Canis lupus familiaris: one gene and its partners. The protein of the gene in region 5 interacts with the protein of the main gene of each other region in a pairwise test. Links are inferred from orthologs where the notes say so. Each region holds a gene or a part of one and is shown on either strand. Other genes may lie near its edges. The genes, in order: TUBB, STX18, RANBP9, AKAP9, DISC1, ROGDI and MLLT10.

The links.
Region 1: the proteins of DISC1 (region 5) and TUBB interact in a two-hybrid assay, tested with the Homo sapiens proteins (2 studies listed by BioGRID and IntAct). The link is inferred for Canis lupus familiaris from reciprocal best matches to the Homo sapiens genes DISC1 and TUBB.
Region 2: the proteins of DISC1 (region 5) and STX18 interact in a two-hybrid assay, tested with the Homo sapiens proteins (2 studies listed by BioGRID and IntAct). The link is inferred for Canis lupus familiaris from reciprocal best matches to the Homo sapiens genes DISC1 and STX18.
Region 3: the proteins of DISC1 (region 5) and RANBP9 interact in binary tests that used the Homo sapiens proteins (3 or more experiments, as listed by UniProt). The link is inferred for Canis lupus familiaris from reciprocal best matches to the Homo sapiens genes DISC1 and RANBP9.
Region 4: the proteins of DISC1 (region 5) and AKAP9 interact in a two-hybrid assay, tested with the Homo sapiens proteins (2 studies listed by BioGRID and IntAct). The link is inferred for Canis lupus familiaris from reciprocal best matches to the Homo sapiens genes DISC1 and AKAP9.
Region 6: the proteins of DISC1 (region 5) and ROGDI interact in a two-hybrid assay, tested with the Homo sapiens proteins (2 studies listed by BioGRID and IntAct). The link is inferred for Canis lupus familiaris from reciprocal best matches to the Homo sapiens genes DISC1 and ROGDI.
Region 7: the proteins of DISC1 (region 5) and MLLT10 interact in a two-hybrid assay, tested with the Homo sapiens proteins (2 studies listed by BioGRID and IntAct). The link is inferred for Canis lupus familiaris from reciprocal best matches to the Homo sapiens genes DISC1 and MLLT10.

The regions. Positions count from the first base shown.
Region 1 is NC_049233.1:654,087-656,147, reverse strand, and holds the end of TUBB (tubulin beta chain), read right to left. Parts: coding exon 1,507-2,061; 3' UTR 501-1,506; downstream 1-500. UniProt on the Homo sapiens protein: Tubulin is the major constituent of microtubules, a cylinder consisting of laterally associated linear protofilaments composed of alpha- and beta-tubulin heterodimers.
Region 2 is NC_049224.1:70,441,725-70,445,224, reverse strand, and holds part of STX18 (syntaxin-18), read left to right. Parts: intron 1-641; exon of another isoform or gene 642-797; intron 798-914; coding exon 915-1,030; intron 1,031-2,775; coding exon 2,776-2,853; intron 2,854-3,016; coding exon 3,017-3,083; intron 3,084-3,500. UniProt on the Homo sapiens protein: Syntaxin that may be involved in targeting and fusion of Golgi-derived retrograde transport vesicles with the ER.
Region 3 is NC_049256.1:14,380,784-14,384,283, forward strand, and holds part of RANBP9 (ran-binding protein 9), read right to left. Parts: intron 1,801-3,500; coding exon 1,610-1,800; intron 485-1,609; coding exon 340-484; intron 1-339. UniProt on the Homo sapiens protein: May act as scaffolding protein, and as adapter protein to couple membrane receptors to intracellular signaling pathways. Acts as a mediator of cell spreading and actin cytoskeleton rearrangement.
Region 4 is NC_049235.1:17,683,276-17,686,775, reverse strand, and holds part of AKAP9 (A-kinase anchor protein 9), read right to left. Parts: intron 2,519-3,500; coding exon 2,336-2,518; intron 1,350-2,335; coding exon 1,149-1,349; intron 258-1,148; coding exon 25-257; intron 1-24. UniProt on the Homo sapiens protein: Scaffolding protein that assembles several protein kinases and phosphatases on the centrosome and Golgi apparatus. Required to maintain the integrity of the Golgi apparatus. Required for microtubule nucleation at the cis-side of the Golgi apparatus.
Region 5 is NC_049225.1:8,131,399-8,134,898, forward strand, and holds part of DISC1 (disrupted in schizophrenia 1 protein), read right to left. Parts: intron 3,057-3,500; coding exon 2,927-3,056; intron 1-2,926. UniProt on the Homo sapiens protein: Involved in the regulation of multiple aspects of embryonic and adult neurogenesis. Required for neural progenitor proliferation in the ventrical/subventrical zone during embryonic brain development and in the adult dentate gyrus of the hippocampus.
Region 6 is NC_049227.1:36,909,306-36,913,597, reverse strand, and holds the start of ROGDI (protein rogdi homolog), read right to left. Parts: upstream 2,801-4,292; 5' UTR 2,768-2,800; coding exon 2,723-2,767; intron 2,652-2,722; coding exon 2,580-2,651; intron 2,382-2,579; exon of another isoform or gene 2,234-2,381; coding exon of another isoform or gene 2,226-2,233; intron 1,877-2,225; coding exon 1,788-1,876; intron 1,594-1,787; coding exon 1,539-1,593; intron 881-1,538; coding exon 800-880; intron 20-799; coding exon 1-19.
Region 7 is NC_049223.1:9,418,538-9,422,542, forward strand, and holds the start of MLLT10 (protein AF-10), read right to left. Parts: upstream 2,801-4,005; 5' UTR 2,751-2,800; coding exon 2,673-2,750; intron 2,444-2,672; exon of another isoform or gene 2,370-2,443; intron 2,322-2,369; exon of another isoform or gene 1,998-2,321; intron 1,866-1,997; coding exon 1,706-1,865; intron 1,088-1,705; exon of another isoform or gene 778-1,087; intron 1-777. UniProt on the Homo sapiens protein: Probably involved in transcriptional regulation. In vitro or as fusion protein with KMT2A/MLL1 has transactivation activity. Binds to cruciform DNA.

The DNA of each region.
Region 1 (2,061 bases), on a different chromosome or scaffold from region 5:
GTTATCTTTATCTTTCCCTGGAGTTAAATGAGAAAATTGCCAAGGTGTAAGAGAAAAAAGCAAGACCCATAACTCAAATGAATCCTGGATGTGCTGTGCACTGAAAGTAGTGCAATAATAGCGTTCAACTCTGCATTCACAAGATTCTCCTGGAGTACTGCTAAACAGATTACTAGTCAGCTGGTTTCTGGTTCAGTACATCTGGGTAGGCCTGGTGATCTGCATTTCTACACAAGTTCCCAAGAGGCTATTCATCTGGGAGCCACTTACGCACTATTCAACATTCATCTCAGTTCCCATTTCTGTCAATCCTGTAGGAGTCTATGCCTATCCTAGTTATTGAGACTGGTAGTGAGGATGGTGAAATAGTTCTACCAGGATAAGGTTAAGTACAAGGATATTCTCATCAGTTTATTAAGAGCAGAGTATAAGCGTAGCTGAACTTGAGCCTCAGGTTGTCCAATGGCAATCTTTCCCTAAATGAGCACACATCTCGCAACTTTTTTTCAGTTTTTTTATTTTTGGCTTTTGGGGCAATGGTATCTTTTCAATATGAAAAAAAGCAAGTTCAACACAAAGTAGAAATTTGAAATGTAGGACAGGACAAAAATCAAGGGTGTGTGGGGAAAGGGAATAGCAGAAGGAAGAGCTGAGGTGTTGCCAAAAGGTGGAGGGTCTCCTTGTCCCCTCTGGAAGAATGACTCAAATGATTTAGGTGGCAATACACACTTTTCTATATGTACACAGTAGAGCTGGAGTTTTGTTAAGAAAAAGTGGGGAGTGGGAGGGGGCCTTTCCAGACTTTAGGGATCAAGGCCAGTCCCTCTTTCCCCTGGGAAAAGGAAGAAATCGAACACGTGAAGCAGTTTATGTAGGAGGGAAGGATCCCACTCAACAAAGTGGCACAGACCCCTCAAAAGAAACAGCTCAGGACAGAGCTTGGAAGAAGACTAAAAATAGACAATACTGTCAACATCTCCCCTGAAGCTGAGAGCAGGAAGATTCCTGGATTTGGACTTCAAGAGCCTGGATTTCCCTCTCTAAAACTGCTCTAGAATAGAAAACCCTACCTTCTCGATATGTACCTCTACTGCTATGAGGTAGCTTGGTTTCCTTTCCCCTGGGCTACCACATGGGCTTAGGATGGTGGCGATGTTTTCAGCACATGTTCTAAATGGGATCTAATGAGACCCAGCTTCTCAGTGAATCACCTTAAAAAACAAAGGGAAATATCAACTGCACAAACGGGAAAATGGACACCAAAAGAAAATACAGGGTGACCCAGAACAGCAGAAATCTAGGTTTCCCAGAGTGGAAGAGAGGAGACATTCAACAAACAACAAGTATTTATTGAGCGCCTATTACGTGCCAGGCACTGTTCTAGGACCCCCCCCCCCAAAAAAAAGGGAAAAAAAAATAAGAGGCAGAGAATGCAAATTCTGAGGGAGAGGATAGGGGCAGCTGAGGAAGAGGGAATGGAGAAGCCTAAGGTGATGGTACTCTGCCTTAAGCCTCCTCTTCAGCCTCCTCACCGAAATCCTCTTCTTCTTCTGCGGTGGCATCCTGGTACTGCTGATACTCAGAGACAAGGTCGTTCATGTTGCTCTCAGCTTCGGTGAACTCCATCTCGTCCATGCCTTCACCTGTGTACCAGTGGAGGAAGGCTTTGCGCCGGAACATGGCTGTGAACTGCTCTGAGATGCGCTTGAAAAGCTCCTGGATGGCTGTGCTATTTCCAATGAAGGTGACTGCCATCTTGAGGCCACGGGGCGGGATATCGCAGACAGCGGTCTTGACATTGTTGGGGATCCATTCCACAAAGTAGCTACTATTCTTGTTTTGCACGTTGAGCATCTGCTCATCTACCTCCTTCATGGACATCCGCCCACGGAAGACAGCAGCCACAGTGAGGTAACGGCCATGGCGGGGGTCACAGGCAGCCATCATGTTCTTGGCATCAAAGACCTGCTGGGTGAGTTCAGGTACAGTGAGGGCCCGATACTGCTGGCTTCCACGGCTGGTTAGAGGTGCAAAGCCAGGCATGAAGAAATGGAGACGTGG
Region 2 (3,500 bases), on a different chromosome or scaffold from region 5:
GCACTCAACCACTGAGGCACCCAGGCACCCCAGGACTTTGTATTTTATTCTCAGTGAGGGTGAGTAGCTGGCAGGGCTAGTATATGGGAATGGAATGAGTTGAGTCTGTACATTATTAAAGGTCCCTTTTAACTTGATATTTTGTGATTCTAAATTTCGGTTATAATGTCCAGAGTGTTTAATTATACTCGGCCAGCATCCCTGTTAATAGTAATGTTGGCACATGTGCCCAGCTTGTAGGATGATAAGCAAGGCATTCTAACTGTCATATCTCGAGCTTCAGGATGGTGCATTAGTGTGGGTGAGCACCCTCACTAGCTCAGTAACATTAAAGTTTTCTAACTTAACATCAGGAGAAATGAAATGTTTCTAAAAGGTCTTTTATTGTGAGTCTTGAAGACCGCTTGTCAACATGGAAAAAATGAGCCTGAAACAGTTTCTCACATATATCTCAAGAGCCTCCAGATAGAATCTCCCATGATTCTGCATGTGGCACCCAGAGCGTCTTTCTAATATTAATCCAGGTCTGTCATTGGGTGACGCTAAGAGCCTTCAGTAGCTGCCTTGTTGTTCTCAAAGTCAGGGGCCACATTCCCACTCAGGCCTGTACGCCCCGGTGCCTGACCCCACTCCCTGCTCACCTCACTGCTGCTGGACTGGCTGCTGCAGGTCGGTCTGCACAGAAAGCATCTTCTGCCTCATGGCCTTCATATCCATTGGTTCTGCTATTTAGAATTTTCTCCCACCTCTTAGCCTGCCCAGTTCCTCTTCATCCAGTCTCAGCGTAAATGTCATGTCAATAGCAAAGCTTTCTCTTCCCTTCACGCTCCACCCAGACAACATTTGTGGTCATTTCCTGCTGCGTTAAAATTTTGTGCCCCTCCCCACTTGTTTTTTTTTTTTTTTTTTTTAAGCCATATCATGTCTGAATACGGAAGGATGACAGACACAGAGCGAGACCAGATAGACCAGGATGCTCAGACATTCATGAGGACCTGCTCTGAAGCAATTCAGCAACTGAGAACACAAGGTGAGGTGCTCTGAGGGACATGGCCGGCCCACCATGACTTTGTGAAGCCTCAGACAAGGTTCAGAGGGCATGCCCAGCTGGAGGTCTCTTGTGTGTTTCTATTCAGATTTAGGTCTCAAAACTTTAAAATTCCTCTTTTCTCAAGATCAGCTATAAAAACTAATGAAAAGGCCATGATTCAGGCTATGGGTGGGATGCGGGAGGTGGAGAGGAGTTCTTCATACACAACGAGACATTTCCTAAGGATACAAGGCCAGAACAGACAGATTGTGCACACCCCTGTGTTCTGTGTGGCAGTTAGGAGGTGTGGACCGGAACAGAAGAGGGCTCTCTCAGCTCTCTACCTGGAGCATGAAACTTGAGGAGCAGACCCGCACGCTGAAAAGTTGCGCTCTGGACCCTTGGGTGCTCTGGTGCCTACCCTAGCTCCACCACATTCTACCCATATGGCTTTGGGCAAGTCACTCAGTCACCTTGGACCTCAGTTTCTCCATCTGAAAAGTGGACACAATTATAGGGTGTATCTCTTAAAGTTAGGAGAATGCATGAATGTGTTCAGTGCATGCTTAGGGCCATAGCTGGCACTAGGGTTGTTAGTATCACGTCTCCTTCACTGCTGTCTCATTGTTACTGGGGCAGTGAGATAGCTTCCCAAGTTGCATATCTTCCTTGACCCTTTTGTAATGTGCTTAGGCAGATAGCTGTTACATTAAATAGCACAGAGCTCAAAGTGGCCAGATGCTGCCATGTTCTTGACTCCAACTTGTATTTGGGAAGCTTCTGTCACAGCCCTGATGGGCCACTTAGAGTCTGATGAAAGCTATAGACCTTCTTGCCAGAGAAATACACACACTCACAGAATTTTGTGTACAGTCTCGTGGATCTGCAGAATGCAGAATGATCACATGATCATGGGTTAAGCTGCCCAATAGTAAAACCATGATTCATGTCCCCTACCCTTAAGGGCCTATACATTCATTGAAATAACCTAAAAATACGTGTTTATGACTAAAATCAGCATTTAAGTCACCAAACCATGTGACCTTGGGCTTCTTATTGAATCTGAACCTTATTAGTTTCTCTTTGTGTAAACTGGCATCCAGATTGCCTTTTGTATTAGCAGTAATATATGTAAAGTACTGTAGAGTGCCTGCGTGTAGTAGATGCTTGGCCTCTCAGTAAATGGGAGCTGTCCTCCCAAAATAAATGGCACAGACCTTAAGCAGATATGATAGTTTGCAGAAGCAAGGCATCCTTGTGGCTAAAGAGTCGAGGAAGGTTTCTTTGAGAAGAAAGGTTTGACTTGGTGTGTTAAGGGCCCTTAGAATGGGGGTGGCTGAGCGGGGAAGACAGGGCATTCCAAGCTGAAAAACAGCCCAGACAGGCAGGAGGAGCGTGGGGCTTGAGTCTGATTTAAACGTGTTACTTGAAGGTCAGCTTAAGCATTGGATGCTGTTAATACAAAAGGGGTCAGCTCTCAAGAAGCAGCAGCATCCACTATGATCCCTGCGTGCTGGAATAAACCATAAATTCTTTGACTATAGTTTTCTGCAGTTTAATCTTTTACTCTTGTGAAGCCCAATAAATCTTCCTCTTTTAAAAATGTAATGTCATTTGACACAGACTTGTTTTATTGCTGTATTTTTACAAATACTTTCCATAAAGAAACTGTTCTGAGGAAGCTGATGAATTGTTCCTTGTGTAATTGAACACAAACGTCTGACTGCTGTCCTTTTCTCTTCCAGCCCACAAGGAGATACACTCCCAGCAAGTGAAGGAGCACAGGAGTGCAGTTCTGGATTTCATCGAAGATTACTTAAAAAGTATTTCGTTTTATCTTAAAGGTCAAATGTGGCATTTCACGATAGATGATAGAACATTTAGCTTTGCTAGCTGAAGACGGTAGTGTCTCCTTATACTTAATGACACCATTGCCTGAGAAGCGGTTTTAAATGGTCTCTGTTCTGGTGTTTTCCCCTACAACAGGAGTATGTAAACTTTACTCAGAACAAAGAGCCATCCGAGTTAAACGAGTGGTGGATAAGAAAAGACTGTAAGTATCGTCTCTGCTGGTGTTCCTTAACTAATAATAGTAATGATAGCAACTAATGTTTATAGAGTCCTTATGCTTTACAACATATGGTACTTGGATTTTTTTCACAAAATGCTGTAGCTAGGACTTATGGAGCACTGCCTTTGTGCCAGGCACAAAGATTTGTACTAGATTTGTCATTAGCTCCCAACCACCCTGTGGGGCAGGTACCATTCTTATCCTCATTTTCCAGATGAGGAGGCTGCCACTTGGGAAGCTGGGTAACTCACTCAAGGTCCCATAGTCAGGAGGTGACGAAGCTGCACTTGGGGTCCAGGTTGCTTGTTATTTCAGAATCTGTGCTCCAGCCCATCTCCTGTTAATAATGCTGGGTGGCTGGCAGTTTTAGCCATCTTGTGTCTTTCTCTTTGCCCCTGC
Region 3 (3,500 bases), on a different chromosome or scaffold from region 5:
TTAACTTGGAAGTATAAGAACAGCATCTATGTGACCATCTGTACAGGCCTGTGCCGGCAGGAAAACCAGAAGAAGGCAGAGCCCAGAAAGGATTCTTAGACCCCCGCAGAGGGCAGAGGGCTGCAGATTCAGAGAAAGGAACAAAGGAAAGAGGCTGTGTGCACACGGGGAGACTGAAAAACTCTGGGAACTTACTCCATGCCCTTTTATTCTCTGGGGCTTAGGAAGTCTCAGACCCCCCTGATGGACCATGTAATGCAATTTTTCTAAATTGTTAAAAACGAAGACACTTATCCTTAGGTGGTTTATAGTACTGCGTAAGCTCGGGAGGTCACATACCTGGTGAAGTTATTAACTTGCTGTGATCGTGACATGTTTATACTGTTTAGTTCTGGTACGTTCAAATTGGATGACTGGTGTTTACTATGGCAATATGATTGATGTGCTTTATTTGATATGACACCATTACTACAACTTTCAAAACCTAGGGGAAAAAAAAACAGAAAAAGATGTATGAACAGAGAAACACACACCAACTTATTATTACATTGCAAATAACGTACCCAGATTCTGATCCTGCATTTAAAATTCTTCTAATGTAGGGAAGTCAATGCATGACTTAGATAGTAAACAGATAACTTCTTTGAAAGGATATAAGGATGTTCATTGTAGGCTAATAATTAGCATCTCCTCTAACAGTTACTGAGGCTTAATTATGGATCTTATTTATTCCCCACAACACCCCCCCCCCAGGGGAATAGTGCTCTCATCGCTCTCATCTCACGTATAAACCCACCGAAGCCAAGAAGCTGGGCGTGCGTGCGTGAATGTATGATATTCTAGATGGGAAGGGGAGAAGGACACAAACCAGAGAATCGTGTGCATGTACAGGATGGCGATGTAAATAAAACAAGAGGCAGGAATGTAGAAAGGTATATGCCAACTGAGCAAAAGCAAAGGTGTTGGTCTATGAAAGGAAAGGAAACAGCGTCTGACTTGTTTCGAAAGCTGAACATAAGGAGGCCACAGAATGCCTTGGGAAGAATGGAACGAGACAAGCAAAGAAAGAAGGCTGGGAGAAACTAAATCTACAGAAGTGACGGCATAAAAGCCAAGAAAGGAGAGAACTGTAGTTAGGAAGGGCGAGGAGGAACAGGGCCGGGCAGAGCAGATGCTGGCAGGAGGTGAGCTGGGAGGGGAGGAAAGCTGGCAGCCCAGCGAGGCCTGCTGACCGGTGGACTAAAGCCGCCATGGCCATGGCGCCAGTGTTCACCGATGCTTCATTCCGACAGAGCTACCTTTTATCTTTACCAAATGTCTACAATTTAATTTCCAGAGACAACCCGAATATTGACCTTTGTTTATGAAGATCTGCTTATAACTTGTTCTCAGAAACAGCTCTACTCCAAGTTACCCTCTTGGTAGTAACAACACACGAATCTGACCCACTTTACAATTTTTCTTCCAGAACGTCCTGAGACCAAGTATGCACATGTGTGAAACAGCTACATGGAAATGTCCAGATTTTTTAAACTTTATTTTTTGGGGGGATTCAAAAGTATAAACAAGGGTAAAAACTTAAAAGTACTGTCATAAAACTGAGCCTCACCAGAAAAATGTGCAGTACTTCCTTTGCCTGATGCTAAATTGTGGATGTTCATTCCGTGGCTGGGGCTCATACTCGGACTACTGAAAGGTCGAGGACTAACTGGGTAACTGTCTTGAGATTTAGGACTTCGGCCTCCCAGACATCGTACTTCACTATCTGTACCATTCACCATTTCTATAAACTGACGCACTCTAAAAAAAGAAAAGACAAAATTTACTGAGATAATTTCAAATAGACATTTATTTATTTATTTAGTAAAAACAGATTTCTAAGAGGAAATATTTTAAGAACTGGTATTTATCTTTTTTTTTTTTTTTAATTTATTCATAGAGACAGAGAGAGGCAGAGACACAGGCAGAGGGAGAAGCAGGCATCATACAGAGAGCCCGACGTGGGACTCGATCCAGGGTCTCCAGGATCATGCCCTGGGCTGCAGGCGGCGCTAAACCGCTGAGCCACCGGGGCTGCCCAAGAACTGGTATTTATCAATAGGTATGGCCTTTAGACAGTATGCTAAAAATATTAACTATGGTTTCATATTATGTACTGCTTAAATTTAAAAGTGTCTGGAAAAATCAGCATATAAAGCAAAAGACACTGTATCTCCTTTAATCAAGATTTAGTGAGAAAATGAAAACCTAGCTGTGGCTATAATTTTTTTTTTTAATTTTATTTATTCATGAGACACACAGAGAGAGAGGCAGAGACACAGGCAGAGGGAGAAGCAGGCATCATACAGAGAGCCCAACGTGGGACTCGATCCAGGGTCTCCAGGATCAGGCCCTGGGCTGAAGGTGGCGCTAAACCACTGAGTCACCCGGGCTGCCCTATGGCTATAATTTAATCAAAATGGACTTTATTTTCAGAGTTAAAATGATTTAATCAAATAATATTTGCACTCGATAACAAGTAAAATAGTATGTAAGAACACGATGTGTTTAATGTACACATGATGCAAAGAGCCTCCCATTTAACCAAAATGAGCCACATATTTAAAATTTTACTCTAAAGCAAAACAATTTTGACATTTGGCTTACAAAGGGTTTCTGGTACATCAGAGAGGTGAAATATTAAGCTTAATAACACGTGAATTTTAAAATAACAAAGATTCAGAAGGCCAATAAAAAAAAGTCAAATTATGATGGCTATTATTAAAAAAAGATGTAGACTTAAAAAAAAAGATGTAGAAAAGTATTGGCAAGGATGTGGAAAAACTAGAATCCTTGTACATGGTGAGACTAAAATGGCACAGAGCTATAGCATTCTGAGGATCAAATTTGTCAAAAGATTAAACAGATTATATATATATATATATACACACACACACACACAAGGTATATGTAAGTATATACACAGTGTGTGTGTGGGTGTGTGTGTATATATATATTGTGTGTGTGTGTGTGTGTATATATATGAAATATATATATACACCCAACAATTCTATTTCTGGGTATATACCCTAAAGAACTGGAAACAGGGACTCCAGTGGATATTTGTACACTCCTGTTCATGGCAGCATTATTCACAATAACCAAAGTGGAAGCAACCCAAATGTCTATCAGTTATTCAGCCTTTGAAATGAAAGAAATTCTGACATATGCTGTAACATGAATGAATTTTGAGGACATGTTGCTATTAGGAATAAGCTAGTAACAAAGAACAAATATGTTATGACTCCACTTAGATGAGGTACCCAGGGTAGTCAAATTCAATTTCACAGAGACAGAAAAGTAAAATGGTGGTTGCTAGGAGCTGGGTATAGGGAGAAATGGGGAGTTCGTTTCTCTGGGGATAACGAAAAAAAGTTCTGGAGATGGCTGGTTGCTGACAAATGCAGAACAGTGTGACTATACTTAATACCATAGAACTGTGCATGTAAAAATGACAAATT
Region 4 (3,500 bases), on a different chromosome or scaffold from region 5:
TGCATTTTATTTCCAACACTTTACCTAGAAATTGCCATGGACACTCTGACGGCTGACCGAAACCTGGTGAAGCCCCTTGGACGATTGGTGATCACCTCTAGGTCTGTGAAGGCTGGCTGTCCCCCCATCCGGGCCAGCAGAGCCAGGGTGGCATCTTCACATTCCTGAAACCCACCCAGTAATAGCAGCAGGTATTTCTTCTGATAAATGAGCGCTTTCCGAAAACTTTCTGCCCTCAGGTATTTACCATAAATTCTCTATGTTAAAAAAAAAGGGGGGAAGAACATAAAGACATTATTGAAAAGCCATTCAAATTGTTCTCTAGGGGAAGATAACATAGATTTTATTTTACAAAAGTACTAGTAGTGGAATGGCAGATATCCTACTACTGTTTTCCATTTGATCAGCAAAGTTGAAGATAAAGATAATCAACCTTAGATTTTACATTTCTGCCTCTTTTTAGTCCATGGAATGTGACTACAAACCTTATACTTAGGTTTGGGGTTTCATTTTGGAGTTTAGGCTCTATTCATCATATTCATTGCAAATATTTTTGTCATTCCATTATTATCTCAGTTTTTTTCTCCTCTAACTGCGTAGAGCTACTTTTATTATTACGGTCGCTAATCTTTTTTTTCTTTAAAGTTTTCAATGTTAATGTTCTCTGTCTCTTCAAGAAGCATAAATTTATGTTCACTCCATAGTTAAAAGAAATATTCCAAACATGTTTCTTTCTGTTTTGGATTTTATGTTAACAGATTAAAAGCAGTTTTAACTACAGTATTCATTTTAGTCAGGAGAAAGGCAGTTCAGAGGGTTTACCATCTTACAGAACATGATGCTCTGGTATTGAATGTAGTAGAGCTTTTGTTGGCAGTAGAAATGAAACTTTCTGTTGGTCTTCAGGGATGAAATGGTGGGAAGCAGGACCGTGAGCTCGCGGTGCTGCCAGTACGGCATGCCTTGCCACCAAGTTTTTGTGACCAGCTGGAGGCCTGTACTCATGATGCACATCGAATAGTGAGAGACCTAGAGGCAGCCTGAGCGCCACCTAAATTTCTTTACTCTGTTCAGTTAAGGTTAGTGAGAGATGAAACAAGGCAAGAGGACCAGCCTTGGTACATGTTTAGATGGAAGATGTCTCCTACCTTTATAGCAGCATGCTCTGAATCAGGGCTCAGGTTGTGAAGTAAAGTTTCATTTCTTAGTTCAGCTTTCAGTTTATACACTTCAGCTTCTGCTCTTTTCAAGGATTTTTGGAGAGTCAACTTTTCTCTGTTCCAGATTTCTTTTTCAGAAGCAATGATGGCTTCAATGCTGGCACCACCACTGAATGAAAACCTGGAAGACTGCAGAAACGAGAGCCCACTTACATGAGTTTTAGGAATAAGTCTCTGAAGAAAAATCTAAATTAAACACATTAAAGGTATCCCCTATGGGATCTCAGCTTTCCAATCTCAGAGAGGGAGAGTTCAACAGCGATCTCAATTGATAGTAAAGAATATACATTAAGTATATGGTCCTTTGCTTAGTAGATTAATTTTAAAACAAAATCTTTATGGAAGCCTCACCCAAAAGACAGTGCTTAGATTTTTGCAGAGCTTTGAAATATAAAGTCTAGAGACTTAATAAATAGACCGACCATCTGGGTTCAAATGTAGAGCCTAACCCTGAAACAGCGCCTTGGGGGAGTGCGGAAAAAAATCCCCGGCTATACACAGGGAAGTGGATCCATGCAGAAGCTCTGTGGATGTGTTATCCTGTATTTGTCTCAGGAGTCCTTTCTATCTTTATATTATATTCCTATCTTTATATTACAGAAGCTAGCAATTTATTTTGTAGTTTTTAACTGGAAAAAATTTTAAATAAACTGCTAGAGTGGTTTATTAGACTGAAATAAATAATTTAATGGCATCTTTCACTTGAGTCACAAACATAATAACTGATAATTAACTGATGAGGAACAGTCAGAATTCACATTTGAACATTTCTTAACATGGACCCACTGGTGGTTCCTAGGTAGCAAAGTATCTGGCTTTGGAGATAAGCAGTTCTTGATTGGACTACAGACTTCAGTTTTCTCATGTGCAAGACTGAATGTGGATTAAAGATTCTGAATGTACAGAACCCAGGATCTGGCCCAGAGAAGGCCCCCAATAAATGATATCTATTATTATTATTATCATTATTATTGTCATCTCTCTACCATTTTTCAATGATCTTACTAAGAATCAGATATCTAATATTTTTATATTAGAGTTAAAAATTGAAACTAGAGAGTAGAAATTGTAACTCAGCAATATTTCTAACATGGTCACACTAAAATCAGACGTACATAATCTCTGCCAGCTCCTATCTGTCGATACCGCCTGATTTGTTCTTCTAGCTTCATAACTGTATTTCTCAAATCATTCTTTTCTTCTGTCAGTTGGCTGATATGTCCTGTCAGCTCAGCATTTTGTCTTAGCAGTCTTTCAGTCAACGAGCCACAAGAAGTACCAGGGGACACTAAACCAGGCTAGAAAGAGAAAATGGTACTAAGGTCGTGTAAGCACAAATGTTTATGAACAATGCACATCAACATGTGAGCAGACGCTGAGAACACCAGATTTCATGATGAAGTGGTGCTTGAACTGAGTCTTAAATAACTAGGAAGCATTTCATAGGTAGGAAAGAAGATAGGGAAGAGCATATTAAGCAGAAGGAATAGCATGTGTAAAGGCACAAGGGTTTTGTTGGAGAGTGTGTTGCTTTTCAGGAGCTACAGGTTGCTTGGTTACGTTAGAGTAAAGGCTGCCTTCACTTTATAGATAATAGACCTAAATGGAGGCAGCAGAGAGCCCTAAAGGCTTTCAGAGTGTGCTACAAACAAAATTTATGTCTTAAAATATTCCTTTGGGGGCACATGAGTGGCCCAGTCAGTTAAGCATCTGCCTTTGGGTTGGGTCATGATTCCAGAGTCCTGGGATCGAGCCTGTGTCAGGCTCCCTGCTCAGTAGAGAGTCTGCTTCTCCCTCTCCCTCTCCCTCTGCCCACCTCCTGCTCATGCTCTCTCAAATAAATAAATAAATAAAATCTTAAAAAAAATTCCTTTGCTAGCAGCATGCGAAGTACAGTAAATTAGGGAAGATAGATCCTGGTGTCAGGTGGACACATCAGGAAGTCATTACAATAGTTTAGGTGAGAAATACTGGAAGCCTGAATAAAGGCAATGACTAAGGGCACGTGGGATATTTAGGAAGTAAAAGCACAGGACTTCATTACTACTAGGATACACAAGTGAGAGTGAAGGAAGGTAGTCTAGGGTGACTTCCAAATTCCCAAAGTGGGCTCTATCAGGACCAGAAACATGGGTTGGGGACAGAAGGAGGAAAAAAAGAAGATGCTCAGTTTAGAATGTGCCTGTGAGGTTCCTAAGGGGTCACTATGAGGCGCATTTCCCCAGAGAAAGAGTTCCTGTAACTAATGGAAAATATAAATCTGGATCACAGGATAGAGGT
Region 5 (3,500 bases):
CCAAGTACAGATCACCTAAAACTTCTACCTCCTGACCCCATTTCCAGTTTGAGCTGAGGGTAGAGACTTAGTTGGTTGGGACTGAAGATCCACCCCTGAGATGCTCCAAGAAGATAATATGTCTCCCATTGGTCCATCGTTACAATATCATTGGCATTGTTTCCCAACTAACCTCCCATCCTCCACCTCTGCCCGTATCCTATTGTTTTCTTTCCTTGTAACTGTGGAAAATGCATGTAACATGAAATTCACCATCTTAACCATTTTTAATGCCAGTCCCATGGCATTAAGTACATTCATATTGCTGTGCAACCATTGGCACCACCCGTCCAAGACCTCTTCATCTTATAAACCAAAACTCCAGATCCCCATTTACCCCATCCTTCCCCCAACCCCTGGCAACTGCCATTCTACTTTCTGTCTCTATGAATCCCTAGGAACTTCATATAAGTGGAAGCATAGTATTTGCCTTCTTTGTGACCGGCTTATTTCACTCAGTATAATGTCCTTAAGGTTCTTCCAAGTTGCACCATGTGTCAGAATTTCCTTCCTTCTTAAGTTTGTATAGCACTCCATTGTGTGGATGGAGTACATGTGGCTTATCCATTCATCTGTAGATGGACACTTGGGTTGCTTCCACTTTTGGCTGTTGTGAAAAATGTTGTTTTGAACATCACTTTGAGGTCCTTATTTCAATTCTTTTGAATATATAGCCAGAAGTGGAATTGCTTGATTGCATGATGATTCTATTTTTAACGTTGTGAAGACCCACCGTGCTTTTCCACAGTGGTCCAGCACCCAATTCTTAACACACAAGTCAAAGTGATTCTTTAAAACGTGGTCAGATTATGTTGCTGCTTTGCTTAAAACCTTCCAATGGCCACACTGCAGTCAGACAGAAGCCCGAGTGCTTATAAAGGTGTGCAAGGTCCTCCAAGACGTTTCTCCCTGACTTTGTCCTCTACTATTCTCCCATACCCTGGCCTGCTGGCTGCCCTCTGAACATGTGAGGCACATCCCCACTTCAGGCCTTCATGTGGCTGCTCCCTTGGCTTCCATCTCACTGCACAATGGGTTGATCTTAGCTTATGCATTATAGCTCTTACCACCTTACAACATAGTAAGGACGTAACTTGAGAATTAATTATGTTTGCCATTTCTTATCTATCTCCCCATGCCCACCTCTACTAGAACATCAACTTCACAGAAATCCTAAGCATTTCAAACAGTATCTGGAATATAAGAGGCATTCAAACACCTGCTGAATAAATGAATATTCACGTTCCCCCAGAGTTCTGCTGAGAACATTCTCCTCAAACACTAAGTATCCCAGTCTAAAACTATTTTCTGTACATTCTGACATCATAAGGAATTATGCAGGCTACTGAAAAATATTGTAAATATTTTTCAAATATTGTTAATATTGTAAATATTAAATATTGTTCAAAACCAAAAGCCAGATTTCACATTTTCAGCTACCCAAAGTGATGTGGAGAACAAAAGCAAAAGACATATAAGAAAAATAATCAAATTTCCTTTGCAGTCCACTGACAAGTACTTGAGACAAGCAGGGTGACCTTCCTCCAGGAACTCAACTGCCTCAACGTGAATACTTTGCTAGAGGCAAAAAGCAACCCCAGCTTGACATTAGCTTGACTTCCAGGATTCTGTAAGTCTTCTTTAACATATAAAAATCCCTTCAGAAACTTCCTTTACCTCTACCCCCCAACAAAGATATATGTTATTAATCATCCTCCAAACATATGGCCCACTGATATACATCTGAAAGGTTTCATGACTAAGAATTTACTAGCAGTAAATGACTCCTCAAGGTCCTAGAAACCTTGCTTCCAAATTTCTTAGACTTACACTCTCCCCAAACCCCTTCCAACTTAAAAGCATATAATCAGTCACTCCTCAAACCCAATGAGGCTCTTTCTGCCCATGGGTCCTGTCTCCATGCTTTAATAAAACCACCTTTTTGCACCAAAGACATCTCAAGATTTCTTTCTTGACCCTTCGCTCCTGAACCCCATACATCACAACACAAACTTTTAGGACGATACTCACTGAATATAGACGTATTCAGTTTACTGGAGAATATTTTCAAGTTGTGATGGCTTTTGCCACCTTGCTGTTATGGGGACTTGGATGGGCAAGCTCAGGTAATAAGAATACTCTGAACCAGGGGGTAGGGATGGGAGGGCAGTCCAAGAACTCATCCAAGCCCATAAAACAGTCTAAACTCACTCCATTGTTTAGAACCTAAACCAAGATTTGCACTCAGGTGTTCAAGACCCATACTCTTCCTGGAAGTCACGTTGTCTTCCATAGATGCTCCCTGTTACCCTCCATTCCTGTCTCGAGACCGTAGGTTCCAGGTCGTATGGACCCAACTTCAAGGGTCCCTGCCTCAGGCAGGGGGAGTCCACTTCCAGAGCACCTGATAGCCTCCTGCCTTAACTCTGTGCTGCATCTAGACTTCTGGCCCCTGAGTGGTTCCTGGCCACCACTCTGGGCCAATCTGGAACTTTCATGTGATATCTACTGGTTTTTCCCAGACACGCTAGCCTTGCCCAGCCCACACTTACAACTCTGCCCCCTGACAACTGCTCCTCACACTTCAACTCAATACAATTTTCCATGAAGGATTTTCACAGAACACATTTCTTCCTGCCTTTCAAAAGAACCTCATAAAGATCAAAATGATCAGAGGTGACAAATTGGCCTGGCAGACAAGGAAAGCATATTCAAAAAGTAATGAGGAATATTGAAAATGGGCACAAACACCGCTGAGCTTTCAACCCCTCTTTGTGGAATGAGATTCCTACCAGCCCTCCAGCCAACTCCACCCATCTCTCTCTTTTGGACTTCACGGGTGGCTGGCCAAAGCTCTCATTTCTCTGAGCATCCTTCCCCTGCTCACCTGCAGCTGCCGCTTCTCCTGAAGAAGCCAGTCTCGTCTGGTGATGGACACACGCAGGGTGTCCTGAGCAGTGGGCTCCCACAGCTTCGGCTCCATCCTGGGGGTGGTATGGGGGTCATCACTGCAGGCCCTTAAAGTACAATATGCATGTTAATACAGATGTGAAGAAACTGAAATCCTTGGAGCTACAAAACTGTCCAGAGAAAGAAATTTCACAAAGTGGCCGCCAGCTGTTCTCATCTTTGGCGGGTCAGAGGAACTAGGTCCCTAAAGTAAGTTTCTGTTTTAATTACATTCTGTTGGGGATTTTGCTTTTACCCAAAGCCAAACTGCTATTTTTAGGCCTGCCCTGTCCCGTCCTATGGCCCCTAATCACATATACTATCTACGTGCTGACACTGTCCAACGCACACCAGATTTTAAAGACTTCGAATGAAAACAAAGAGTGCAAAATATTTCTATAATTTTTGTGTTTATCACATATTGGAATGATCATATTTTCGATGAACTGGGTTGCATTAAATATATTGTAAAATTAACTTCACCTGTTTCTTCTTGCATCTATTTAGTGTGG
Region 6 (4,292 bases), on a different chromosome or scaffold from region 5:
GGTTCCTGGCATCCTGGATCTGAAAACAGTGCCCACCGAGAGGTCAGCGGGTGGGGCCTCAGGAAGATGAGATGCCAACGTCAGAGCAGCCACGGTCTCCGGTGCTCTAGAGGTCAGGCCGTCACCTGAGGGGCCATCCTCCTTGGAGGCGTGGGTTGGCTACCGCCTGCCTGACCCATCCCTACCAGCTATCAGCTCTGGGCCCTCCAAAAGCCAGGCCCTGACTGGGTGCTAAACATAACAGCACAGACCGTGACAGGCTTGCCGTTACACAGCTCACCTTCTAAAAGAGAACAGATGGCAGCAGAGTAAAGGCACAAGATAACACCACACTGAGTGACTTGCACAAAGAGGGTGAGTCTGCAGGACGGTGTGTGTGTGGGGGCTCTTTTCACCCAAGTGATGAGAAAAGCAGGGAGAGAGGGCTCCAAGGCAAAGGCCCTGGGGCAAAGACCAGCTGGTCCAGCGAGGGGGGAAGGGGCAGGTTTCAACCACACAGGAGTGGATAGGGAGCATGGATGTGGCCCCCAGGAGCCACTAGAAGCCCCAGGAGGCTCTGGGAAGGGGACAAGGACCCCCATGGTTCCTATGGGGGTCCAGGGGCCTACAGACAGGATAGGTTTTCCACCTCCCACAAGCCGCAGCACTCCCTGCCCCAGCTCTGCTGCTAGGAAACAGCCTCCCAGGCTTGCTGCGGCCTGAAATCCCCCAGGGCTGCCCTGGGAGGCCTCTGTGCTGCTCGGGCCTGCCCCTGCCTGCCCTTGTGGCTTGAGCCTTGGCCGGGGAAGGGCCCAATTACCTGCTGCAGCTTCCACTGCTTGTCCTCTCGGAAGGCAAAGTGCAGCAACTGGTTGTTCCGCGGGATCTTCAGGTTCACGTCCTGACGGGCAAGAGTGTATAAGCGGAAGGACACCCTCCTGCTTTCGGCCACCCCAAGCCTTGAAGCAGGGGGCAGAGACGGGTGTGTGTGCTCAGGTCCTGGCCATTCCAGGGGGCAGGAGATCTGGCCATTTGGGGTGTGCACAGGGAGGTCAGGAAACAGGAACTCAGGCTCCAGAGAAACCACAAAGAAATGAAAGGGAAAAGAGAAAGGGAAGGTGGCCTCAGCCGGGGGGAGGTGTGACTGTGGGCAGACAGGACCCATGGGTCCAGGCCAATGGACTGGAAGAGAGGCACCTTCCCCCACATCTTGGCGCCTGGCACGGACGGGAGCTCAGATGTTGGCGGATTCCACTTTGAATTGGGGCCAGCCTAATCCAGCCATTGCCCACGCTTCACTGGGCCCAGACTCAGGGCCGGGCTGTGTGCAAAGCATCCTCCTTCCTGTCCCTCTCATTGAAGCCACACGCCAATTCCATGAGGAGGTTTGGTGGGGTGGGTTGTTATTTTACAAATGAGGAAACTGAGGCCCGGAGAAGTCAAGATCCTGCCCAGGGTCACAGAGCCAACTGGTGGCAGAGCTCAGCAGGAGGCCCCCATACTCTTCCCCCCTGGATCCTCCAGCAGCAGGGAAAGGGAAAGAGGGCTGGGGGACTCACCGCCTGGCTCAGCGCGTCCCCTTGCAGAGTCAGCACGCCCTTCACCTGGTCTGTGCTGCAACACGCGGGGGTCAGAGCACTGCTTGTGGCCGCCTTCTGCCACCACCTAGCCCTCCCCGCAGGCTGCCCCTGGCTGTCACAGGATGGCCCAGCCGGTCCCACAGCACATGTGCACCCTCTGGATGTTGGGCCTCTCCTGGAGGGCATCCCAGGTGTCACCCCTCTCGTTTCTGCTCAGCCCTGGCTCACCTACAGCTGCCAAGGATGAAGTTCTCCTGCTTGGCAGGCCCCTCGGTGGCGGTACCAGAGCTCGGCAGAGTGAAGCGTAGAGAGGCCTCCTGCAGGGACAGAGGGGAGTAGGGTAAAGTTCACCCAAGCCGGCTCACCACCCACCCCTTCCAGAAGCCCCGTTCCTGGGTTGGCCAGGGGAAAGAACAAGGTGGGCTAGTTTCACCCGAACACCCTATCCAAGCCTCCGGGGCACCTTCCCTGTTTCCCCAGCCCCTCCCCCGCCACCTGAGTTTCAGGTCCTACCAGAGCGGATAGCTGTTCCTTCCACATTCCCTGAACACCCACCTCCTGCCCAACTCAGGGACATAGGACAGAGGTGGCCCCCTGGCTGGGGAGCAGAGTCAGGGAACGACGCTAGTCGTGGCAACCTGAAGTTCTGGCCATAACAGGCAATACCTGGGCATTTCTAGGAGTTGGCTTATCCTCACCACAGCCCCGTGAGGCCGGTACTGTGATCTCGTTCTTGCGAAAGGGAGGCCCCAAGAGATTGGGTAAGATGCTGGAGACCTTGCGACCACAGCTCCAAAGGAGGCCTTCCTCGACCCCGACCGCGACCCCGACCCCGACCGCCCGGCCCGGGGCTCATTCCGCTCCCCCCTCCCACCGCAAACGCAGCTGCTTGTGGTTAGGTGGGCAACTACGCAGCGGGGCCCGACCGGCCGCCGGGTGCCCGGGGCAGGGCCTGCTGTGCCCGCTGCGCGTCGCGGCCCCGGCCGGCGCTCGGGGGCGGGGGGCGGGGGGGGGTCTTACCTTGAGGATGTCCTGCAGCTGCCTGAGCACCGCGTGCACCTCGTCGTGCAGCAGCCAGCGGAACTCCTCCTCCTGCGGGGACAGCCCGGCCGTCAGCCGCCCGCCGCCCCCCGGAGCCCCCGCCGCCCGCCCGCGCGCCTCACCAGCACCGCCCGCTCTGCCGCCGTCGCTGCCATCGCCGCCGCCATCCCCGCCGCCCGCCGCCCGCCCGAGGCGGGGTCCGCCGGCCGTGAGTGCGCCCGCGGCGTCCGGGCCCAGCCCCTCCCCCGCCGCCGACCGGCCGAGCGGCCGCCCAGGGTCAAGCTGCCTGCGGCGTGGGGCCGTCGCCGCCACCCGCCTCCGAGCTGTGCGAGGGGCGCCGCATCCACCTCAGCTCTCCGACGCGGGCGGCGGCCGCTTGTCCCGCCCCTCCCTGGCTCTGATAGGGCGCCCTGCTCCGCTCGCGCTCACTGATTGGCCGGCGGGGTGCCCGGCTTTCATCGCCCCTGGCGATTGGCCGGCGGGGCAGCCTGTCCCCGCCCGGCCCCGCCCTCCGCGCGCCTGCCGGCAGTCCCAGCGCGGCCCCCCCACACGGCGCTCGAGTCTGGGCGCAGGCGGTGCTCACTGCCCAGGTAGTCAGTCACAGTTGTGTTACCAAGAAACGTTTTATTTTGCTTGCAGTAGCTTTTTGTTAATTGCACAAAATCATTTTTTTTTGCCATTTAAACATCACACAATCCTATTCTGAAAGACAAATGTTCATTAAAAACAAAGCAAAAATAAAAATTCACAACCTTAATTACCTAGATTTTTGTCATTTAAAGGTGTAAAGGAAAAAAAAAAAAGGTTCGCGGAACAGGGGCTTTCTTACAAGTTTTCACAAGTGTCACATTTTCTCCTAAAAGGGAAGGATTTCAAAACAAAGGTGAAATAGCTTAAACAGAAATACTCATAAAAAGAAACTTTACAGAATTGTCAACAATATTAAGACAACATTGACTAACCAGTTTCATTACAGCATCTCCCCCACCCCCCACCCCCCCAGTGTCCAGCTAGGACTAGAACAGGCTTTGTGTTCAGACAGAAAAGAATTCCAAATCCCAGTGAAGTTATGCCAAAAACCTGCAGGCATCTTCCCTGCCCTCCCCCTAGCCTGGATTTCTGATCAGTGGGAAAGGGCCATGGTTGTGAGGGGGAGAGGCCCACACCAGTGTGGTCTCATTCTGTATATTCACTAGAAATGCTGACCTGCAAAGCGTGACTTTGGAAAATGCAACCCATGGACGAGGGAGAAAACGTTGACATCCTTCAAGTGACTTCTCCTTGTTTTTATGCCACATTTGAAGCCGGTCTGGTCCCCTATCCAAGGAGAAATGTTAGGGTCTCAAGGACGTCTTAGCTCCAACCTTCTAGGGTCAGATAGTTCAGATTGGGTCAGGCCCAGTTCTCTTCCCTCCCGAAAGACCCTGGGGCTCTGGAAGCATCGAAGACCATGCTTCTGGTTGAAGTGAAGACACTCGTTCCGGTTTCAAGAGCTGGCCATCAGTTGGTCAGGCTGGGTCTGGGCCAAAGGACAGACAGAAAGAAACACTGTCTCCATGAGAAGAGGAGGAGCAAGGGAGAATGAAGAGGTGGGCAGGTGGGGAACATGTACAGGAGCAGGCTGGAGAGAGTGGGACTGCTGTGAAGGGATCCAGTCAGAGTGGCTCTTCAGAACCAGGTGGAAGTCTGCAG
Region 7 (4,005 bases), on a different chromosome or scaffold from region 5:
CTTTGGCTCAGGTTGTGATCCCAGGGTCCTGGGATGGAGTCCCGCATCAGGCTCCCCATGTGGAGCCTGCTGCTCGCTCCGCCTATGTCTGTGTCCCTCATGAATAAATAAATATCTTAAAAAATAATAAAATAAAATTTGTAAATATATCAGTGTAAAAAAGTCCTATCAGTCAAGAAACACTGCATCAATGTCCAAAAACTTTTATTTTAATGTAATCAAGAAGTACTACTTCTAGACAAAAAAAAAACTATGTTTAAATGAATGTTTTCTATACTGGGAGATGACATTAATCAAACTTGATAATTTAGCATCCAATTCGTTAAGAAATACCTTCACAAATGCCAATGAACACTGTGTTGGAAAAGCTTTGTATCAGCTCTAAAAACCTTAAAATCAGTATCTATATACATACATTGCTCTCACTCCTTAAAAAAGGGAAGGTATCCAATTTTTTGACGAAGGTGTTCATCAAAACACAAATGGGAATAACTGCACTGTGATGAACCCACTATCACCTAAGCCTCCCTTACCCATTCTGAGATTTCATTTTATAAAGAGTAAACTTTTGCCCCTTATGTTCAGTTTTTCTCATTCGATAATATCTTTCCCAATACACTACTAAATCTCTGCATCACTCAATGCCAAATTCAGAAATGGTAAGCAGGATGGGTTAATGAGTAAAAGGGAAAGCAGAAGAGCCACCCCAGAACTATCTAAGTTGTTTCCTTACCACCTGACATAGAAAAAGAAACTTCAATGGCCAAAAACTCTTACTGGTGTCCTCCGGCTTTTCTGTAGTATCCCGAAAGCTCACCGAATGGGTACACCCAGAAATAAGCTAAAGTGCTCCCCCAAGTCCCTGGCCGCTCCACCACCTCCTCTTCTCTTCAGTCACTTGGGCTGAGGAAGTCGCCAGACGCAGCCTCCACAGCCTCATCCAGCAGCCCAGGGCAGCTCAGCCAAGCCACTCCTGCAGCAGCAACCTCGCGGCGACCGAAGGCCACCACCGTCTTCTCCGCAGCAAACTCCCAATCCGCAGCGGCAGGGTCTCCGCCAGAAAGCTTGGGGTGCAGCAGCGGCGCTTCCCCTCCCTAACCTGAAGCGCCCCGGCAACCCCCTCCGCCCCCCCCCCCCCCGACTCGGCGACCCGCCCCGGCGCCGTGAGCGGCATTCCCGAGCCAGACTCGATGCCACAGGAAGTCTCCAGACACACTGCGGCAGACGGGAGCAGCCAGGGAAGGGGGAGGGGCCTCCACGATCCCAAGCCCGGGCCCACGGCCACAGTGACAGCACCGAGGGGCGCACCCCCACGCCCCCGCCGCCCCAGCAGCGCAGGCCGCCACCCCGCACCCCCCACCCCACCCCGCCCCACCCCCACCCCCACCCCCGGCCTCCACCGCCTCGGAAAGTCTCCAGCCCCAAGGCTCCCGGGCGCAGGCGGCGGCCAAATGACACTTGAGAGAGTGAGCGCAGAATCACATGACAGTCCAGGCCACACGCACTTTCTCCCACATGCACAGCCCACACCCCCTCCGCCCCGCCGCGGACCCTCCGAGTCAATCCCGGGCCGCGGAGCGGGGCGGGGGCGGGGGCGGGGCGGGGGGAGGGGCGGAAGGGGAACTGGCAGTTGCTGCCAAGGTGGGGGAAGCGGTGACGGTTGGGAGCAGGCCGGGTTCGGCCCGGCGGGCGGTTGGGTGTTTACCTTGATGCACCGCGACGCTGCAGCCGTGCCCGTCGCAATAAACCAGCGGGTTCTCGGCCCAGCCTCTCTCGTCTGAGCAAACGCAACAGCCTCCAATCATCTCCTTCATACTATGGGAGACCTCGTCCTCCAGTGACACGGGCCGGTCGCTAGAGACCATCTAAGAGGGAGTTGGGGGGACCATTAAAAAACACATGCAAGCCAATTAGTGCTTCCCCCCCGCACGGCCGCCCCACCCCCGCTCCCTTCCCTGCGCCCCCGGCCCCCGCCCGCCGCTCGGCCGCTCGCTCACTCGGGCTTTGCCGCTCAGTCACTCACGTTCCGCACAGGAGTCAGGAGCCATGTCCTTGCTGACTCCCCCCACCTCCCCTCCACCGCCTCCTCCGCCTCCTCCGCCTCCTCGTCTTCTTCCCTCCCCACCTCCACCCGGCCGCTAACGCTGGAGCCCGGAGAGGGCACACATAATCAAGTAGGCCTCCGCACAGGCGCACTGGGGGGGCTCCCGCTGGGCCAGGGGCAGCCAGGGAGGGGAAGGGGGCTGCGCTTCCTCCTCCGAGCGTCACTCGGCGTGCGCGCCCGCCCCGCAGCCGGCGTGAGGGAGAAGGCCCGGGAGAGGCCCGGCCTGCGTGCGCGCCGCCGCGTCCGGCCCGCAGCCCCGGCCTACCTCCCGGCCCCTTCCCCTCCCCCGCGCCGCTCGCAGCCGCCGAGGTGTGCCAGGCGGTGGGGGCAGGCGGCGCCGGCGGCGCGCCGAGGCCGGAACGAGCCGGCGAGGGGTGGCGGGGGCGCGCACGCGGGGGCGGGGACGTAGGGCCGCCCTCGGCAGCGCCGGCCGCGCGGGCCGAGCGTGCGCGGCTCGGAGGGGCCTGGGAGGGAGGAGGGCGCCGGAGACCCGGAGGGAGGGGTTTTTTCCGTGAGTGGCCGGAGGGGGCTGACTCCCCCCGAGCGTCTCCCTGCGTTGGGAACCTACCTGCGGGCTCTTCCCTGGCCCGTGGGTAGCAGGGGTAGGGCCAGTATGCCAGCCTCCAAGAAGGGTGCAGTGAAGCATGGCTTCCTGCAGTTGGCCGCGCTCGCTGCACAGTGCTGCCGCAGCTTCTCCACCCATTACGTTCACATATCCTGGACTCTACCCAAAGTTCACGCAGTGGAAGTTGCCACCAGAATCCGCAGCCCATTTACACACCACACTGGCCCCAATGACAAATGAAAGTGCATCGCCGACTGAAGGTCAAAAGCCTGGGTTAGGGTAACACTCCAACAGGGAACACCAACCACCAAGGATACCTTCAGGTTGCTGTGTGGGAGTACAAATGGTTGTTAATCAAGAATTAGCAGTATAATGTGATGATCTGGAAAATGCAGGAATGTGATGCCAAAGGATGAAGGAACCCAAGTTCCAGTCAGTCACCAAATGATAAAACCCCGAGACAGGGAAGTCCAGGTTTGACTGAGGGAGTTCTCTGATTTGGCTTGTACTCCAAATTTACTCTTGAAAATTTAAGGTCACTTTTTTTTTAAGGTGACTTAAGTGGCAAAAAGATGGGAGCTCTCTCCTCACATACGAATAGAAAATGGATTAGGCCTATCTGAATAGATTAATTAACCAGATACTGTGCACTTTGGAGCTGTAAAATCTTCCACTGTTGCCCTATCCCCTATGTATCTATCCTTGTAAGCCCAACATCGATTTTAGGCAAAAAGTGTAGAATTATGAAAGTTTGGCATGAAATAGGAATATACATTGTTTAAATGACAGGCATACGTACAAGGTGAATTCATGGCTTTGGTTAATAACTTGCAGGTACAAAATGGTTGTTTATCAGGAATTAGCAATATAATGTGAAGATCTGGAAAATACAGTTATTCGATGCTAAAGGATGAAGGAACCCGAGTTCTCCTAGTCAGTCACCAAAAGATGACTGGTTTAATCTTTAAAAACATCCCAAATGTTCTCATAAAGAAAAAAGAATGGTAGCATGGCTGTTTTTTTTTTCCATTTCTAATAAATTAACTGCTAGAAATCTGTTTAATAATTAGATATTAGACAATGCAAGCATATGTTAGCAAATATACTCAAACATTCTAAAAGCTAAATGAGATATCTAGAGTAATGGAAATCTAAAGGTGTAAGGGAAAGTATGCACTAAAGAGACACACAAAAATGGGAATTCTCTTGTAGCTGTCAGTTCATTGAGAGAACAAGACTAAAAGATTACGTACTTATACAATGCAAATTCTTTTTTGGAGAATGGCAACAATTAATTTCTGAACATACAATAATGTTCTTAAAAGGCATCGATATG